2 linked regions of the Arabidopsis thaliana genome follow. The protein of the gene in region 1 interacts with the protein of each later gene in a pairwise test. Each region holds a gene or a part of one and is shown on either strand. Other genes may lie near its edges.

The links.
Region 2: the proteins of SERAT1;1 (region 1) and OASC interact in a two-hybrid assay, tested with the Arabidopsis thaliana proteins (one study listed by BioGRID).

The regions. Positions count from the first base shown.
Region 1 is NC_003076.8:22,958,880-22,968,001, reverse strand, and holds SERAT1;1 (serine acetyltransferase 1;1), read left to right. Parts: upstream 1-5,288; 5' UTR 5,289-5,419; coding exon 5,420-5,863; intron 5,864-6,009; coding exon 6,010-6,504; 3' UTR 6,505-6,773; downstream 6,774-9,122. Other genes in the region: ET2 (effector of transcription2), read left to right, coding at 1,761-1,862, 2,188-2,547, 2,629-3,618; AT5G56770 (transcription repressor-like protein), read left to right, coding at 4,013-4,134, 4,247-4,649, 4,769-5,008; NDL1 (N-MYC downregulated-like 1), read right to left, coding at 7,396-7,614, 7,711-7,846, 7,958-8,013, 8,111-8,167, 8,260-8,424, 8,516-8,576, 8,661-8,749, 8,840-8,937 and 1 more.
Region 2 is NC_003074.8:22,067,935-22,078,981, forward strand, and holds OASC (O-acetylserine (thiol) lyase), read right to left. Parts: upstream 7,483-11,047; 5' UTR 7,412-7,482; coding exon 7,055-7,411; intron 6,895-7,054; coding exon 6,785-6,894; intron 6,699-6,784; coding exon 6,641-6,698; intron 6,511-6,640; coding exon 6,247-6,510; intron 5,985-6,246; coding exon 5,847-5,984; intron 5,720-5,846; coding exon 5,668-5,719; intron 5,569-5,667; coding exon 5,489-5,568; intron 5,338-5,488; coding exon 5,278-5,337; intron 5,157-5,277; coding exon 5,076-5,156; coding exon of another isoform or gene 5,063-5,075; intron 4,827-5,062; coding exon 4,740-4,826; coding exon of another isoform or gene 4,727-4,739; exon of another isoform or gene 4,330-4,726; intron 4,200-4,329; coding exon 4,185-4,199; 3' UTR 4,014-4,184; downstream 1-4,013. Other genes in the region: AT3G59740 (Concanavalin A-like lectin protein kinase family protein), read right to left, coding at 1-1,124; AT3G59750 (Concanavalin A-like lectin protein kinase family protein), read right to left, coding at 1,921-3,363, 3,450-3,887. UniProt on the Arabidopsis thaliana protein: Acts as a cysteine synthase. Plays a role in the sulfide detoxification in mitochondria.

The sequences.
Region 1 (9,122 bases):
CAAACAATTAAAATATAAACAGAGAAAGATGACAAATAAGAAGTATTTTGGATTTGTAGCTCTGTTTGAAGGAAGAGACAATGGTGTGTTATTATTATTATATGATTGGTGGAGTTTCTTTCTTCTTCTTCTTTCTCTCTATTTGTCTCTGTATTTTTTTTTGTATTTTAAATAAATTCCAAGAATAATAAAAAGAATAAAGAAATATTCACAAAGTACTCTGCTTTATTCTAAAGAGAGCAAAAAGAAACCAAGAGAGTTGTGTCAAAGGATGATACTTGATTCTTTTTTTGGTTCAAATTTGTTGATTTTAATTTTTTAGAATTAGTGAAAGAATAAGACTGTTTTCTTTCTTCATGGACAAGTTATGGCCAACTTTCTTCTTTTATAACAAAAGAACCATTATAGAATTGGTTCTCATAATTCATTTCAAAAGAAAAAGAGTAAAAATTAGCTTAGAATGGTTATAATGAAGGAGTTGAACGTTGCACTTGCATGCTTTTCATGTTGCTTTTTATATATTTCAGTGGAGAAAGTGAAAAACAAAAGTTGAGAAAAGATGATTTGTACTTTATTAAAGCATAAAAGGTGCTTCAATAAATCAAAGTCTAGTGATGCAATCGAATATATCTTATGTTATCTTAGAAATTAAACAATTTTGAGATCTTATGATTTAGTAAATATATACTGTTACTTAAGTGAAAAGGGTGAAAACAACATTTTGGACTTAATGGCAGCATGGAAAGTGACACTAATCAGTTTTTTTTTTTCTTTTTTTAATAAAGTGGTATCAGAATTGTTATCTTTAAGTTTTACTTTTTTTTTCGGCTTCGGAAACGGGGTCCTTAGATGGTAGGGGATAGGTGAGCCGCTTGTCGACATTCCATAGACACATTGATTGGCTTATAGCTTCAACGCGGTTAGCATCCTTAGGGCAAGCCATCAAATTAAAACAAGTATATCTCATGAGTTAAGTGTTAAGATAATGACCACATTTGTGAGATGTTGTGGAACATTAGTTCTCCCTATATATAACGGTTGGAGAACTTCCAAAGTGAAATTTGACGCGGATCGTCGACAACCAAATGCCACAATCCGGTGGGTAGAAATACCCGATGAACAGATTTACATATTCAACAACATAAATTAAATGTGTTTTCTTATAAAACATGACAAATATTAATTTGATAAGTATTTGTGTCTTTGACATTACTTTTTTAAAAAAGAGTTATTTTACGCATATTTTGTAAATATTCAATTTATTCTAAAATACTAATGATTAACAAAGGATAGACAAGATTGGTTGAAAACGAATATCACATGACCAATTTCTGGTTCTCATCAATATATTTGGTAATAACATTTGCCAAATCAAGTAAAAGTGTAATAAAAAAATCCCAAAGATAGAAGAAAATTTGACCAATTGAAAAGTTAAGTATTCTCATTAAAGAATGTAGATTCCCTCCCTTATGCTAATTACGGTTGTCAACATTGACTAATGTAGATTAAAAAAAAAAAATCCAACGGTAACTAATAAACCGTACAGAAGAAGCTTCACCGTTCCAACGGTAACTTGAAACTTTTCCTTCGGACAGAATAAAACAAAAATCATCCATTTTGGAAGGATAAACATCCATTTTTGGAGGGGAGAAAAACTTTTCTCATTTTTAACGGTGGTGTCTCTAAATTAACGAGCACTGAGAAAAAAGACCAAGTCCGCTTTAATTTAACGGTCACACTATATCATCGGTTTTATCGAAATGGAATTCGGCGACGGCGTTTCCTTCGCCGTCGTCCCCACTGTCTTCAAAAGAGAAGACTACAAACGAACTAAACACGACACCGTCTTCTCCAAGTGGCAGGTCCTCTGTCTTTCTCTTTCTCGATTTGTAGATTGAGAATTTTCGCTCGATCTTGTGTTTTCTCTGAAACCCATTTCGGAATTCTCAGATTTTCAGTTGAATCGAAAAATCTGATCTTCCATTTCCAGGATTTCAGTGTAAAGATCCCATTTTGAATGCCTAGTGTGTCTGCTTTGTCCCAAATGCATTTTCTCTGGATTTCTGTTAGAATTGGTCGCTAACTATATGTATATCTAATTAGCCTAATTCTGTTTCATTTGCTACTTGAAGTGGTTGGTTTTAGATCTTAGTTTTATCTGATTGTGTAAAGTTTGATGCTGCACAGGTACTTATAGGATCCAACGATTGGGAAGATTTCAAAAACGGAAAAGATGGTGTAGGTAGATACAGAGTCCAGAACTTACCTCGTAAATCTTGTCCGGGTCTGTATGAGCTCGGTGTAGCGGTCATCGGTCAAGAACAATGTCGAAAGCTTGAACCAGATATTGTTCTTGCTTCATATCTAGGACAAGCTGAAAGTGTTAGGTCTAGACTTCAGCGTTATGGAAGATCCGGTGCTCATTTGCGCAATGTTAACAACCTTAACGACTGTGAAACTATTGAATCTCCAGTTAAGGCTGTTACTGGAGGTTTATTTGAAGACATATTTTCGAAAGGAGGCTCGATTTTATACAGATGGGCTCCGGTTAGTAAATACATTTCTTCTTTTCTTCTATATTGGTTTGCTAAGTATACAACTTTGATCTAACTCATGTGATTGTATCAGATGGGATCTAAGAGAGAAGCTGAGGCAACAGAAGGGATGCTCTTGAGCACATTTGACTATGCTTGGAACAAAGGAAGTAACGGGGAGCGAAGGCAGCTTGATTTGCTTAAGAAGCTCGGTGATCGCGAGTTTATGAGCAAGAGAAAGTCCGGTATATCTCGAATGCTGTTTCCTTTTCTTCGGAACCAAGTTGGTATCAGAATAAAAGGAGAGAAGCATGTGCTTAAAGAAGAGAGGAAGCTAACCTGTGATGTTGATGAAGAGAAGAGTAATAATTTCCTCACTTCAATACTCAAACTCACCCGGTCTAGACCTCAACCGGTTTCAGACAGATTTGATGAGGTTGATGGTTCTTGTTCTGATATTGTTTGTGGAGTCTTACTTGAAGATGGTGGCTGTTGCATTAGAAGTCCAGTCAAAGGGAGAAAGAGATGCATAGAGCATAAAGGACAGAGAGTTTGCCGTGTTTCACCCGAAAAACAGACACCGCCAAAGTCCGAGATTTTCACTGGACAAGATCATCACAATCATAAAGACTCTGATGTTGTGTGTGGAGTGATCTTACCTGACATGGAACCTTGCAATAAGAGACCTGTTCCTGGAAGAAAACGATGTGAGGATCATAAAGGCATGAGGATCAATGCTTTTCTTTTTCTTCTTAACCAAACTGACCGTGAGAAAACCGTCAAAGACGAGAAACCTGATCCCGAATCGCATACCGAGTCAATCGAAGAAGAAGCTTTGACTCGCTTCTGTGAAGCTACAACAAAGAATGGGTTACCTTGCACAAGAAGTTCTCCTAAAGGAAGCAAAAGGTGTTGGCAACATAAGGAGAAAACTTCCAGCGATACTTCGCCGGTATATTTTCAGCCAGAGGCAGCAAAAAACGTAGCTTGTGGAGTTAAATTAGGCAATGGATTGATCTGTGAGAGATCTCCGGTAAAAGGACGTAAGAGATGTGAAGAGCATAAGGGAATGAGAATCACCTAACCTCTGCATCACTTGTTTATGTTATTTGTTACCTAACCAGAATTGTTTGTACCAAAACCGTTTTGGTTTCGGTATTGGTTTGCTGAACAATCATCTGTACTGGATGACTCACAATCTCATTTTTTATAAATTTAAAATCAGTTTTGATTAACATCGTTGACTTGCATCTTTGCATTACATTAGATGTTTTTAGATTTAAAAATACATAGACCCGTTTCCCGCCATGCCTCCACTTTGTTACTTGTCCATGATGCGAAAAACTGTAAACGACCCATTTCTTTTTCAACTTCCCTTCGCTTCTTCCATATATCTACGATCGTAATATATCAGAGCTGCCTTCTTTCATTATTTTTCTGTAGCAGAACCGTTTTGTTCTGTTTTATTTTGTTTGACAATGTCGTTTGTTCTATTATCGAAGATGGCGAAGTTGAAGTTTAACCATATACGACACACAATCATTAGCACGCAAAAAAGCACAACCATTATGCCGGGGATAAGTCAGCTCTTGAACAATAGGTCTCTTATCATCTCATCTATTCACAATGTTGTTGCATTTTTATCCTCTGTTTTTTTTCTTACTATTATTGGTCCTTCAGGCTTTAAATTAATGGTCATAATGTATCACCAGATTGATCGGAAAGGAATTCAGTTCCGCCGTCCCCACTATGTTCAAGAGAGAAGACTACAAGCTGACTATACACGACATCGCATTCTCCAAATGGCGGAATCTTATAAGACACAATGATTGGAAAGATTTCAATAATAGAAAAGAAAGGGTCCGTAGATACAGACATGAGGACTTACCCCCTCAACGTTGTACGGGTCTGTATGAGCTCGGTGTAGGCGTCATCGGTCAAGACCAAGGCCAAAACTTTGATCCTGATAATAATGTTCTTGGTGTATATGTCGGACAATGTGTAGACGTAAAATCAAGACTCCAGGATTATGGAAGACGCGGTGGTCATTTGCCCTCGGGTTTATATGAGGACATATTCTCGGAAGGATACTCAGTTTTTTATAGATGGGCACCAGTAAATACATGTCTTCTTATCTTCTCTAGTTGGTCTGCTACGTATACACCTTTGATCCTAACTCATGTGATTGTTTCTCTGCTTTACCGTGATTTATCAGATGGGATCTAATTAAGTAGGAAGCTGCTGCAACAGAAGGGATGCTTTTGAGCACTTTTGATTATGCATGGAACACATGCAGTAATGGGGAACGACGCCATCTTGAGTTACAGAAGCTCGGTGACCCCGAGTTTATGAGCAAGAGAAAGTCACAAGTGCTAGTTCCTTCTATTCGAGACCAAGTTGTTACCATCAAAGTAGAGAAGAGTAATTATACTTTCCTCACTTCAACACTCAAAGTGATGAGACCATTTGGTTAACCGGAGTAAACCTACATCGACTAGGTCAAAGATATGGCTTTTGTTTCTCCTAAATTAATTGGATTGTAACCCACTTATTCACGTTTCAAATTTGTAGTGTTAGTAGTTAATTTGTATAGTTTCTTTTTTTTTTTGATCAAAAATTTGTTACGGAAAAAGTTTGGTAAGAATGTCGGCAGAATCACCACCGTCGATTAACGGAAAGATAAATCTAATCTAACGGTTATTGATAAAGCATAAAACTGACGGCTCCGATTTTATTTTCTAAAAATCACGTTAATCACGCACCAGGTGGACTATCATTGTCTTTAATCTATGGATTTAAAAATTTCCGCACGATTAAAGAGCGTCTCGAAAATTAACTTTTATAGGTAGGAGGAGATAGAAATCGAATCTTATCGCCGCGTTAATATGCCACCGGCCGGAGAACTCCGACATCAATCTCCATCAAAGGAGAAACTATCTTCCGTTACCCAATCCGATGAAGCAGAAGCAGCGTCAGCAGCGATATCTGCGGCAGCTGCAGATGCGGAAGCTGCCGGATTATGGACACAGATCAAGGCGGAAGCTCGCCGTGATGCTGAGGCGGAGCCAGCTTTAGCTAGCTATCTATATTCGACGATTCTTTCTCATTCGTCTCTTGAACGATCTATCTCGTTTCATCTAGGAAACAAGCTTTGTTCCTCAACGCTTTTATCCACACTTTTATACGATCTGTTCTTAAACACTTTTTCCTCCGATCCTTCTCTTCGTAACGCCACCGTCGCAGATCTACGCGCTGCTCGTGTTCGTGATCCTGCTTGTATCTCGTTCTCTCATTGTCTCCTCAATTACAAAGGCTTCTTAGCTATTCAGGTGAAATCTTCATCATTTGATCTGATGAATCCACAATTTCTATATCTTGCGATTTGATTTATGAATATTGTTTTAGGTTAGGTTAGGTTGATTCTTCAGTTATGCGAATTTCGGATCATGATTTGGCTTTGTTGAATTTGAATTAGGCGCATCGTGTATCACACAAGCTATGGACACAATCACGGAAGCCATTAGCATTAGCTCTACACTCAAGAATCTCCGATGTATTCGCTGTTGATATCCATCCAGCAGCGAAGATCGGAAAAGGGATACTTCTAGACCACGCAACCGGAGTTGTAGTCGGAGAAACAGCGGTGATTGGGAACAATGTTTCAATCCTTCACCATGTGACACTAGGTGGAACAGGTAAAGCTTGTGGAGATAGACATCCGAAGATCGGTGACGGTTGTTTGATTGGAGCTGGAGCGACTATTCTTGGAAATGTGAAGATTGGTGCAGGTGCTAAAGTAGGAGCTGGTTCTGTTGTGCTGATTGACGTGCCTTGTCGAGGTACTGCGGTTGGGAATCCGGCGAGACTTGTCGGAGGGAAAGAGAAGCCAACGATTCATGATGAGGAATGTCCTGGAGAATCGATGGATCATACTTCATTCATCTCGGAATGGTCAGATTACATCATATAAAGTTGTTGTTATAATTGTTTCTGTGGTTTTGAAAGTGAAAAACTTTCTGACCATTCGCTTATAGAGAGGTGCTGAGGTAAGTGAGCTTTGTTGTATTTGTAATTTACAAAACATCTTACGATGTTCAATACAAGAAATGGCCTTAATTTGATGTTATTATTCAATCATTAGTTATCCAAGAGTTTATACACTTCTTCTACTTTGTATTCGGGTTTGGCTCGGATTTACACTTGTCTGCATCCATTTTACGGGCTTGACAAACATCGAGGAGCATTGAACTTGTTCAGACTAAGTGAAGCATTCTTCGCCTTTACCCCGGTTCATGAGGGACTATGTTTTCGTCAACCGCAACTAATCCTTATGCGTATCTTATATCAGTATATAACTTACGGCTTCTGCAAAGAAGGATTGGTCTCCATTTCCATTTACAATTCAATTCAGACTAAAAAGTTTCAATCTGATGATCCAAATAGTTCAGGATCAAGACTGTTAAACCATTAAATATCAATATTAAGCAAAAACCAGATTCTAACTTGGTGAAATCAATGTGCTTGTAAGGCCAATTAGAGAACCAAAAACAAAATGCAAAATGAATTTTATTACTTGCTTCTGCAGAGTTCGTCACAAAACAATTGTTACAATGTCACAAGAACAGAACATTTTACATATGTATAAAAAAATGAAATAATAAACAACATTTTGTGGCATCTTAACAAGAGAACTGTCGTGTCGGCTGACTACAAAAGAATGTGTTATATGATGGTGGCTTGAATTTTTCTTCTTCGTCTTCTTCTTCTCAAATCTCCCTAGTATTGTTCTATATCTACAAAAGCCCTAAGATTTCTTCTCCTCAGCAAAATTAGAACCAATGAATCAGTAGTGCACACACACTTAAGCCGCCGAAATTCTGGTTTTGATAGGCTTAAGCTTTAATCCCATGCTTTCAGGAGAGAGAAGCTCAGGTGAAATACAAGAAGGGCTAAGTGGACTTCTAGGGCTCTCGGAGAAAAGAGATGGTCTGTATAATCCGTAACCCATCAAGAAATATTCCATTGGGATCAACATTGCATGTGGTTGCTCCTCTGTTACCATTGAACCACAAGCCTGAACCTGATAATATTTCCAAGAAAACATCTATTAGTAGCAAGAAAACCAAACATGTGTTTATATGTAAAGTACAAAGGATGAGGATTCGTTTTCTCAAACCTCAACCAAAGCACAGTATCCTCTATCCAAAGTTGCTGCCATGTGAACAGCTTCTGAGTAGAAAGGAGATTGATCTCCGATGAAGATAAGTGTCCTGCATTTTAGTTTCTTCAATCCACTTGAGATGTCAGGTCTCCTGCAAGAGCAAAGGTTTGGTTTGCATAAAGTTAAAGAAAAGTCAATATTTGACACCATGAATGAATGAATGCTTCTAAGGTAAAGGATTTCGAGGTGTTTGTTGTGTTACCGGTCAATGGCGTCAAGAAATCGCAAAACGTTTATGCCTTGTCTTTCATCAAGCAGCTGAGACAATCACCAAAAGTGCAAGGTGTGAATCACTGATACAGTAAAATCAATCTATTGATGAAACAGAAAAACAACAGAAGAGATAAACACTGACTCTTCTGCAAGCTTGTGCTATATCTGACTCTGGAATCTCAACGTTACCACGGACTTCCTGTAGCAAGCAGTTGCAACCGGTTTAAATAAGAGAAGTCTGGAAATGCAACAAGTGCAGAGAGAGAGCAATGGTAACTGCAGTGAACACACCTTACTAAAATATCTCTGAAGCAAAAATTCCTTTACCACTCCACACATTCCGTAATAATATAACAAGTTTGTGATAACCTTGTTGTAAAACCATTCAGACCAAGACGGCGCCTTGCATAACGGTGAGACAAGAATCAAACCAAGAACCCGTTCTCTATGTTTCATCTGAAAAGTTTTAAAACATAGAAGAGATGATAAACACAGTATTCTTCTGAAGCAATGGGCAATGAGAAGAGAAAAATAAATAGGAACATACCGCGAATAAGGTGAGGATATAAGCACCTGCAGTCACTCCCATACACATCACAACACCAAGGCTGAACAAAAAGCTTATACATTGTTACCCGAAAAACAAAAGTTGAGAACTTCAATAAGCCAAAAATAAGGGATTCCATCGTTACCCGAAAAAGTTGAGAACTTCAAGGATCTGATCTGCCAAGTTTTCAGCAGAAGGGACTGAATCATTAGGACAAATTGGAGCAGCTCCTAACTGCAAGAAAACAGAGAAGTCATGTGAGTAAGTAATCACGTCAAGCAAAGCATACGGCAAGTTAAAAAAAGAGAAACTAAAATATTGGACCTCATGCCCAGGTGGACTGATATGGTAAATGCAGAAGTTATGAAGCAGCAATGAAGCTGCTTCAGGACAGAAGAATAACCCTTGGAAGCATGACATATCTGAAGAAGAAACAACAAAAACATTAATAAATTTAGCCATTACATTAGTGCCTATAGAGATTCTTTAGCCTTACGGTTTAGGGCTAAATCAGGATAAGTAATCAATGCTGGCTTTTCTCTGTCTCCATAGACAATGACAGACACAACACCACTAGCAGTTTTAACACGATGCTCCTGAACACAAG
Region 2 (11,047 bases), on another chromosome or scaffold:
AATTCGCTCATCCCTTGTCTTGAATCATGAGAAGTCCGTTTTACAGCGATCTCTGCATCGGAACCCGGAAGCATTCCTTTGTAGACTTGACCAAAGCCTCCTTTCCCAAGAAGTTGTTTCTCTTTGAAACCCTTTGTGGCATTGAAAAGCTCCTTATAAGAAAACCTATGAGGTCCATTCTGAATCTCCCATTCTTCAAGAACCTCCTTAACCTTCTTATGCCTCACATAAAAGACAAAACCTATTCCGGAAGCGACTAATGCAGTGAACACGGCCAACGTTAAGCAGACCGCTAAAATCCTCCGTGTTCTATCATACGACTTCTTTGGATATGGAGGAAGGGTTGGGATTACGCCAAGGTCCCATGCTGGATATATAACTCCTTCTTCATAGGAAAATTGCATCACATAATAGAGTGCTCCGATCGACCCGGTCGATGCCGTGAAACCCAAGTACGTCTCCTCCAAAAAATAGGGCGAGAGATCTCGGTTCAAAGACAAGAGCGATTTTTGTGGCGGAACAGAGATTTCAGCAGGTAATAAAGTAACATTGAGCTGTTTATCGGTGTGACTATAAACGATGGAAAGCCTCATTACCTTTGTGCTGATCAAAGAAAGCTTTTTGAAGTTTCCATCTTCATCATCATAGTAACCAGCAGAAGCAGAGGCAACAGATGTCAAACCATTAATGTTAATCCCAACATGATTATCATCAATATCTCCAAACTCTTCGTCTTTTCGTATATCTAACTCGATAGCTATAACGTTATTCGAGGCTTTACCGTTGTTTGTCTCGTTAAAGATTCCCAGGTATTGATCGGGGGAAGCTCCGGGAAGGCCTCTTGTAGGAGAGAAAACGAAAGCCATACCGTGTGAACCTTGCTGCTTATGTTCAGGGACGATCCCGAAGATGATGTTGAATGAGAAAGATGAGTTCTTGATGGGAACGGGAGTGTTGTTGAAAGCTTGACCGTAGGAATGCTTCGTGGTGTTTGTTAAAAGGCAATAACCGTTTAAACCTGCAGCTGCAGCTTCTTCCATGAGGAAGTTGCCATTGGAGTTGTGAGTAGATGAAAACAGAGTAAGCAACAGAACGAGAACTATTTGTAAGACTTTATGAGACATGTTCTTGTTTGTTATTTTTTGGCTTATGGGAAGGTTATGATCTTAATGTAATATTTATCATCTCATAAGAATTACGGTCGAAAATAATGGGAACCCAACGTTCTTTTTTTCTTTTTATTTTTGTTATTCTTCGTTAGTAATAAAAAAACATATGTATTTAAGCACATGAGCTAGATCAAGTCGTAAAGCAATTATAGTGGGACTGGTAGAGCGTGTCGTCAAAAGACAGAACTTTTCTACGATCTTAATACTTTGAAGTATTAAATTACTAATAACAACAGTGTGAAAAGCATAATTAAAAAGCAGCAATCCAACAAAGCTATTTTTCCACAACCATTTTGTAGAAAAAACAACGTATGTTTAACATTTTTAATTTAGTGTAGATTCTAACAAATTCTCTACTGGTCTGAAGGCAAAAGTGAAGTTATATGTCACTAATTTGTCATGGTTTGATCATTATATATTGAGATTAATCCTATGTAGTGTAACAACATCAAAGTAGTTTAGAATGTTTTTGGTTATATGTCACTGATTTGGCAATTCACGCCATTTTGTTTTGACGCCATTGCTCTTGAAAGTTCGGTTTCTTAAACAAATCCAACAAGAAAACTTTGAAAGCAGAAAATACAAAACATATTATATGTTGAGTCCTAAAAATTTAAGATATAAGAACTTGGGGATGAAACGGAAGGCTTTACTGATTCAAGATAAAGAAACCCTAATGTAGTGATTCATCAAATAGACGATACAAAAGCTTGAATGTAACTGTTCATTCAAACTAACTTCTTTAACGGTTTCAGCGTCCATGGGACAAGAAAGAATTTGTTAATGTCATTGTACCAACTGAATACAGATTAAGACCAAGTAGTACTTCGATTGATGTTTCAGGCATTCCTCTCAAGTTCTCAGCTCTTACGACATCAAGAAGATTATCTGGAAGCTGCGAAACGCCATTCAAGATCTGCATAACCGCACTCATGTTCGGTCTAATCAGTTCAGTGTGATGTGCACACAACAGACCTAGCTTCAAAAGAAGCTCGATTTCTCCCCTGTTTTGTTCTTGACGGATACTTTCCTCAGCTGCATCGAAAAGTTTCCCACTTTCCCAAAGCTCTAAGATCCAATCCACAAGAACTTCTTCATTTTCCGGTGCACGTCGCTCAATCATTCTTCTACCACAAACAACTTCAAGCATTACCAACCCAAAGGCATAAACATCAGTGCTTGTGGTCGCTCTTCCTGTTCTTAGGAGCTCAGGTGCGATATAACCAAATGTTCCCGCTACTCTAGATGTCTGAGGGTCAAGTCCCTGATCATACAGCTTTGCCAATCCGAAATCCCCGATCCTTGCATTCATTTCGTGGTCGATTAGGACATTAGCTGGTTTGATATCTCTATGAATGATGATTTGTACCCATTCTTGATGCAGGTGTAGTAGAGCAGATGCAACATCTTTGATGATCTTGAAACGTTGTTCCCAAGTGAGCCGTTCTTGATTCTCATTACGGTCTAGATACTTGTCAAGGCTTCCATTGGGCGTAAAGTCATAAACCAAGTAGAGATTCTCCTTATGCCTACAATATCCCAGAAGCCTGACTAGATTTGGATGCCTGAGACGACCAATGGTCGATATCTCGGCTAGAAACTCGCTCATGCCTTGTCTTGAATCATGAGAAGTCCGTTTTACAGCGATCTCTGCATTGGAACCCGGGAGCGTTCCTTTAAAGACTTGACCAAAGCCTCCTTTTCCAAGAAGTTGTTTCTCCTTGAAATCCTTTGTGGCATTGAGAAGCTCCTTATAGGCAAACCTATGAGGTCCATATTGAATCTCCCATTCCTCAAGAACCTCCTTAACCTTCTTATGCCTCGTATAGAAGACAAAACAGATTCCCGAGGCGACAAACACAGCGAACACAGCAAGCGTTAAGCAGACCGCTAAAATCTTCTTTGTTCTGTCAGACGATTTCTTCGGATATGGAGGAAGGGTTGGGACTACGATGAACTCCCATGTTGGATTCTCAACTTTTGGAGTAGCGTACGAACTCAACATATAATGAAATGCTCCAATGGATCCAGTCGATGCCGTGTAGCCATAATACATCTCCTCCAAAAAATACGGGGAGAGATCTCGATTCAAAGACAGCAGTGGTTTCCGTGGCGGAACAGGGATCTCAGCCGGGAATAAAGTAACATTGAGCTGTTGATCAGGATGACTATAAACGATAGAAAGCCGCATTACCTTTCCGCTGATCAAAGAAAGATTTCTGAAGATTCCATCTTTATCATCATAGTAACCAGCAGAAGCAGAAACAACAGATGTCAAACCATTGCAACATGATTATCATCAATATCTCCGAACTCTTGGTCTTTTTGTATATCTAACTCGATAGCTATAACGTGGTTTGATGATTTACCGTTGGTTGTTTCATTGAATAATCCGAGGTACTGATCGGAGGAAGCTCCTGGAAGGCCTGCTGTAGGAGAGATAACGAAAGACATGCCATGTGAACCGGACTGTGTATGCTCAGGTACTATTCCAAAGAGGAAGTGGAAGCTGAAAGACGAATCTTTTATGGGAATGGATTCGTTGTTGAAAGTTTGACCGCAGGAATGCTTCTTGGTGTTCGTTAAAATGGTGTCACCAATGGAGTTGTCAGCTGCAGAGCCCTCCAGGGTCCAGTTTCCATTGGAGTTGTAAGTAGATGAAGACAGAGTATAGAGCAGAACAAGAACTATATGCAAGACTTTGAGTTCACTAGGCATGTTAGGATTTTTTTTGTTTTTGCTTATGGGAAGAAATTGATCATATGAGATATTTTTATCATCTCATTGAGAGTTAAGTAAGAGTATAAAAGAATTCCAAACTGCAAAAGTAGGGTCGAACAAAATGGAAACGAACGTTCACATGGATTTCCGCGTTGTTCATATTAAAAATTTATGTATTTACACACACATGGGGCCTAAACCAAGTCGTAAAGCAATTAAGATAATAATCTTCCAATCTTCATTGGATTCAAAGCAATTATCGTGGGATTGGTAGAGCGTGTCCTAATCCTAATATTAACCGCTGACTCTCTGAGCATTAGAAAATATATGGATCAAAATTTCAAAAAGACGGGATTTTTCTATGATCTTAAAACTGTGTGAAAACTGGAAAACATCAAAAAGTACTTTAAAAGCAATAATCGAACAAAGTAAGTTTCACATCCAAAGTTTTGACCACAAAATTTGTATTAAAAATAAGTTTTTGACATGTTTTAGAGTTAGATTCTGATTTTATTTTTTTCTATTGGTCTACATGAAAAAGTAAAGTTATATCACTAACCTATCATCGTTGATCATTATATATGAAAATACTCATGAAAGTTAATATTTTTTAGGTTAACAAGAAAAACAAACAAGGGATCAATCATCTTGTTCAATTCAATATAATTAAGCATTGGGATTTCCAACAGAAAATGTTGAGTAAAACATAGACTAGTGTTGGATATCCAAAATAGAACTCAAACCACATTCACTAATGCCTTATTGATAAAAATAAATTGCTTAGCACTCAGACTGTAATTATGGGAGAAAGAGCTTTGCAGAAGTAGACCAAGTTGCTAATGTTCATACCTCAGGCTGCATTTTCTCCACCTCTTCCCGGATAGACTGGAACAGCGGGGTCGATAGATATCTCTCCCCGAAGCTCGGGAAAACAACCTGAAAAACCGCATTCATAGATTCATTAACAGTTACCTACTTAGAAGATTTAACAATCTAACTAGCCAAGTGACTATATTGTTGATTCTTTGGTTTAGTATTGGATCACAGACTCGGGAGACTTTAATAATCCTCAAATCTATCTTAAGATGAAATCTAAAGCAATCCATCTATATGTTGCACAAAGACCCCTTGCACCACCTTTTTGTTTTCAAGACATAACACATAACTGAAACCGAAAAGACTTACAGCTATGAGTTTTCCAGCATTCTCAGGTCTCTTAGCCACCTTGATTGCAGCAGCAGCTGCAGCTCCAGATGATATACCAACCTGACAAGATTATTACATTCACGTAAGAATCTTGTGTAATTTCCACCTTTCACATGCAACATGACACCACAACATCCGTGTGGTTCCCACTCAGAAATCATAAATACTGCAAAGAACTAACCATCAAGCCTTCCTTAAGAGCTAGTTGCTTTGCGGTTTCTATAGCTTCCTCACTTGAAATCTGGTAAACGCAAAAAGAAGATAGTAATTGATGAAGTTTGAGTCTCAGGAATTGGAAAATTTAAGCAATAAATTGACACAAGAATTGTGGATGTTTTGTGGAAACCAGATAAATTGTATAACCATACAGAATCCAACAAAATAAATCATACCGCTATGACTTCATCCATAATTTTCTGATCCAAATTCTTAGGTATAAATCCAGCTCCAATTCCTTGAATCTTGTGAGGTCCTGTATAAATGCAAGAGAAAGCAAAATACGTGAATATAAGATCATATTTCGAAATCATGGAAACAAAATTACTGATTGATATCTATTGGCAAGCCTTACCCGGTTTGCCACCAGAAAGTATATCGCTTTCGGTGGGTTCTACACCAATAACCTGGTACATGTAAACATCGAATAGTTAACTACGAATTATATTGCTTGAATGAACATACAATACTGTCTAAATAACACCTGAAAATGTACTCCAGCTAAGAATGAAACCATTGAACTTTTGCATCTACCTGCGTTTTGGGATTTTTCTCTTTAATAAATCGACCAACACCAGTGATAGTTCCACCAGTTCCAATTCCTGCAACAAAGATATCCACCTTGCCCTTTGTATCATCCCAGATCTCAGGACCAGTAGTCTCGTAATGAATCTGCGTATATTCAAACTTGAGTTTACAAACGTGACAAGAGAACCTCACAGAAGATCATGCCGATTTCAAAGGATCAGCCACTTCCCAATTTGCTTGTACAGTTTAAGTGAAAACCACTTCAGTTACACACTTGTGGGCATTCTCTAAATACAGATGAGTTTCTGGTTAACTCTAACTTAACATTTCATTTCTCTTCTTATGGTACATGACTAGAGCAAAAACCAAATCATGACACAAATAAGGAAAAATATAAACCACAAACCTTTGGATTTGCAGGGTTGTCAAACTGTTGGAGCATGTATGCATCAGGAGTGTTTTTCAAGATCTCTTCAGCCTTCTGAACCGCTCCAGTCATGCCTTTAGCAGGATCTGTTAATACAAGCTCAGCTCCAAATGCCTTTAAAAGAACCCTTCTTTCCATACTCATGGATGCTGGCATTGTCAAGATAAGTCTATAGCCCCTTGAAGCAGCGATGAATGCTAGGCCAATACCCGTGTTTCCACTTGTAGGTTCCACAAGAACACTCTAGATCAATGCAGTAAGGACATGATTAACCACCAGAAATAACAGACTATAGATTGTACAACTTTATGTGTGTAAAAGCTGGTCTCATCCATTAAACTTTACAAAAGACTGATCAATCTATAATCGATACCTTTCCAGGTGATATAAATCCTTTTTGCTCAGCATCAGTAACCATACTGTACCCAATCCTGAATCCGTGAAACATAAAAGTTAGGACTTGAAGGGACTCAACTAAAAACATACAAACAAGCCACAAAAGACTTAAGCTACAGACCTATCCTTGACACTGCAACATGGCTCCATGATCTCGAGTTTGGCAGCAATATTTGCTACACAACCTTTTGCTATACTGTTCAAGTACACCATAGGAGTTTTCCCAATGAGCTGAATCAAGCCAAGAACAATGAGAGATACGTAAGTAAATTCTGAACTATTTAAAAAGCTAATCAAGTTTCAAATTTTAATGGACAATCACACTTTCGCCAACATTCCCATTAGAGGAAAGCTCAAAAATTTGATCACCAATTTCAATTTCAAATCTAACCTGAGACACATTGTCAGCGATGTTGAGTCCATCAGGTCCAGTCTCGCGCTTAACAGCCTCACACACAACAGACGGATCTCGTTCCGAACCATCAGCAAAACTCCGACTCTGCCTCTTCATCGCTAGAGAGAAATCAGAAGCGGAGGAGAAGGAGAGAGAAGAGATCTCTGGCGAGCATCTGAAACGACGGAGAGTAGAAGAAGAAGAAGAAGAAGTCAACGGATTAAGAAGTAAAGCAGAGGAAGATGTGGCGGCCATGGATGTGTAGCAGCTTCGGTTTCCCAAAAGTGTAGACAAGATTTGAGATGCGAGCTTAGCTTCCCGGTTAAACCTTGAAGCCATGATCATCGCCACCATGATCCTACTTTTCTATTTTCTTGGAATACGACGTCGATTGGATTTTCAGATACGGTCCATTTTTAGACCAAGCTTTCAACTTTATATTAAGTTTCATTTTTATATTTTATACATTTTTTTTTTAATCACCAACCAAGTGAAGTGCACTGACCAAAAGCGAACGTGGAGAATGTGTTCTTATTCGTACCTTCATACCTCTCAAGTGTTGCATGAATCTTTCTGGTTAACTTTTTTTTTTTTAATGTCAAATTCATCGTCTTGGATCCGTTGCCGTTAGATATTCTTGTTCTTGAATTTGACATTGTTTGGTTTTGGTTTGGTCAACAAGGAAATAGTCAGTAACAAAGGAACCAAAAGCTTCTGAGAAAATGTAACTTGAAAAGATTCTTCTTCTTAAATTTGACATTATTTGGTTTTGGTTTGTTCGATAAGGAATCAGCTCATCTTAAGCCCGTATAACTGAGTCAAACAATGGTAGGCGGTAGCAATTAGCCAATTAGGGTTGTCTTAATCCGAGCTACATAAACTCTAACAAAAGCGTTCCAACACTCAAAAAAAAAAAATGTAAAACACCTGAACAAACACATTCACCGTTAAATTTGCACAAAGACAAAAATGGGCCTTAGAGCCGACACTAAAAAGGCCGTTAAGCAATGAATAGCCACATTAATCGTTCCACGCGCATTATTCTCACGGAAATATGCCGTTGTTGTACCTTTTTTTTTTTCTTTCTCGATATTTTCGTCCATTAGTAAGTATCTTCTAAGACTTCTACATCAATAGAACATTAAATTATGATCAATTACTATTTTATTGGGTAACGAGTAACCACATCAATAGAATCTGATTTCTTAACCATTCGAAGTACAAACTGTAAAAGTCTGAGAAAATTGGTTGTTTTTCGTTTGTAGTTATGCAATTTTAAGTAATGTCTGTAAAATACAAAAATTTTGTTATACAATTTTGATATATATATTATGTAAGAGTTTCATGAAATTTATGCGTCAAATTCACTTAAAAAACTATATACCAAAAGTCTTACCATTTTACATTTACTCTATATATTCAATAAAAATATAATTTAAAAGGTATAGAGACAAAAACAACACAGAGAATTCACTTGCAAACAACAAGTGCTTAAACTTTATTTTTATTGATAATAAACTCTTTAACAAGTATTATCTCGGAACTTACTTGACATATTCTACCTGAATGAACAACCCCGACTAAGGAGAATTAAGTTTAATGAACAACCCCTGAATGAACAACCCCGACATTTTCTACCTGAATGAATAATTAAGCCTAATTGTCCTCTATTTCTTATCAGCCGCCCGTGAAGACAAAAAGAACTAACACTAAGAACAATTAAGAATAATTAAGCCTAATTATTCAACTCGACTAAGAACAACCCCGACTAATGCTTTGAAGTTTACAAATTGTACAATGCTTAAAGCCTCTAGAAGCCTAAACCCTAAGATCTCCAAGGGTCTTTGATATCCAACAACTTCCTGAAATCCAACACGTCGGCATCAGCTGGTTGAAATTTGCAACTTCATAATTCATGAATGCATTTTACTCATATTGTTTTTAATCACATTTTTGCTCTAGAATACTTATTACCCGAGAACGCATTTCGTTTATTTTTCGACTATTCAATATGATTTGACGAAACTAAAAAGTGATATAATGTTTGAGTATTCGACTGTTTTTGGCTAAACTAAAATGTGGTTTACAAACGATTGATTAGAGATATTTAGGTTCGTATCTCAACTAAGTGTTGCGACTAGGTGCTAACTTGTTTGAGTGTGCACAGTCTTTTGTAACTAAGTTCGTTACAGGTGTTCCGACTAATGTGTTTATCTCTTCTAAAAGTGTTGCTATTTAGTATGATTTCAACTAAAAGTGGGCTATTTTTTTTTTTTTTTTTTGGTCTATAATGTACTTTTTAGACTGAATTTGATAAACTACTTCGACTAAGTAATTTAACTAAAGCAACAATTCCTACGTGTTGTTGCTAAATAACGTGGTTCGACTAATACTTAGAGTAATACAACGACTAGAGTTGCTAAAATTTAATTCAACTTAAAATGCGCTACGTTTTTCTTACTAGGTGCTTCGACTAAATTAGACTAAGTGTTTCGGCTGGGATTTCATTAAAGTGTTTATTTTTTACCTTTAAAGTGACGTTTGGCTACATGTGTTTTTTACAAGCAAGTTTTTTTTTTTTTAATATTCAAACAAATGTCATTATCAATCTATCATACACTTTAAAAAAATTATCAAAAAAAAAAAAAGAAGGCATTGAAAAAAACTAACCTTTGAGAAGATCGCAATTCATGTGTGAGGCTGGAACTTGCTCTAAGTAGTCATATCCGTGGACCGTAGTTGTTGGGCTTGAAGCAAGCTTTTTCTGAAGTCATCTTCCCATACAAAAAAACAAAAGAATCTTATTACTAAATTTTTGGATTAATAATAAATATTACATCATCAAAGAATAATCAATTCAACTTCGAAATCCAAATGTTCATCAGTCCCTTTTTTATAACAAGTGTAGCAGAGATATTAAAATCAAAGTCAACAAGTATAGCAAAGTCAAACAGAGCATAGCAAAGTCAAACATAGCAAAATTCCCAAAACAGGAGGAAGTAATCCGTGTAAATAAAACCTAAAAATGCAGCTAGAAAGCTAAAACACAGAGAAAAAAGCCATGTTCAGATATGGACACAATCGTGATTTTAAAAGCCTGATTTATTTTTGAATTAAAGAGAGAGGACAAACAAACAGTGAGGAAAGCTGAAAGAAGAAATAAATTAAAAAAGGCATCCGTTTTGCAGTCACATGTGTAAAAAAGACTGAAAATAATCAGAAAAGATCAAATAAAGAATTAAAGCGACTCACCAACGATTGGATGAAGACACTTTGGACTCTTCTTGTAGATAACGACACTTCGGATTTTATTGTAGAAGACGACAGGAGAGGAATTTTACATTTCTAGAACATTAGATTACTAAATTGTACTAAACGCTCGTGTGTGTGTGTGTTTATATATAGACAAGTTTTCTCGCCCGTTGGGAAAAGCATCAACGGCTACTTTGTCATGTCTGAATATAAGTCAGCCATGACGTCATAAGTTACCGTTCTGTATCTTCAACGGCTAACTCACACTGAACCAACAAGACACGTGTAAAGTCGTATACTTACTGTTGGGCTTTCTCCATATCGGCCCAACCCATTCAAATTGGTCAATAATTATGAATCTTTTTGCGCTTATCATTTATTTTATTAACAATAACGGGGTTAAGGCTTAACCCCATTTGAAAATGTTTACATCTTAACTAGTCTCACCATAATTATGATTACACTCTTACTTAAGACAAATGTTCATCATACATTATACATCTTTAAACATGTATTTTGGATTTTAAAACTCTATGATTTTAATGATTATGTATAGTATTATTCGCTTATGGTTTATAGATTATTAACAAATATAATTATGCAATAATTTTTTTTTGAATATATTTTCTGACCTAGCCACTGTTATATATTGTGGCCAATTTCTGGTACATTTTATTTTTTGTAAAGTCATTTTGTGGTTATATGTGGCTAAGACAAAAAATGTTTTTGGAGCAATTA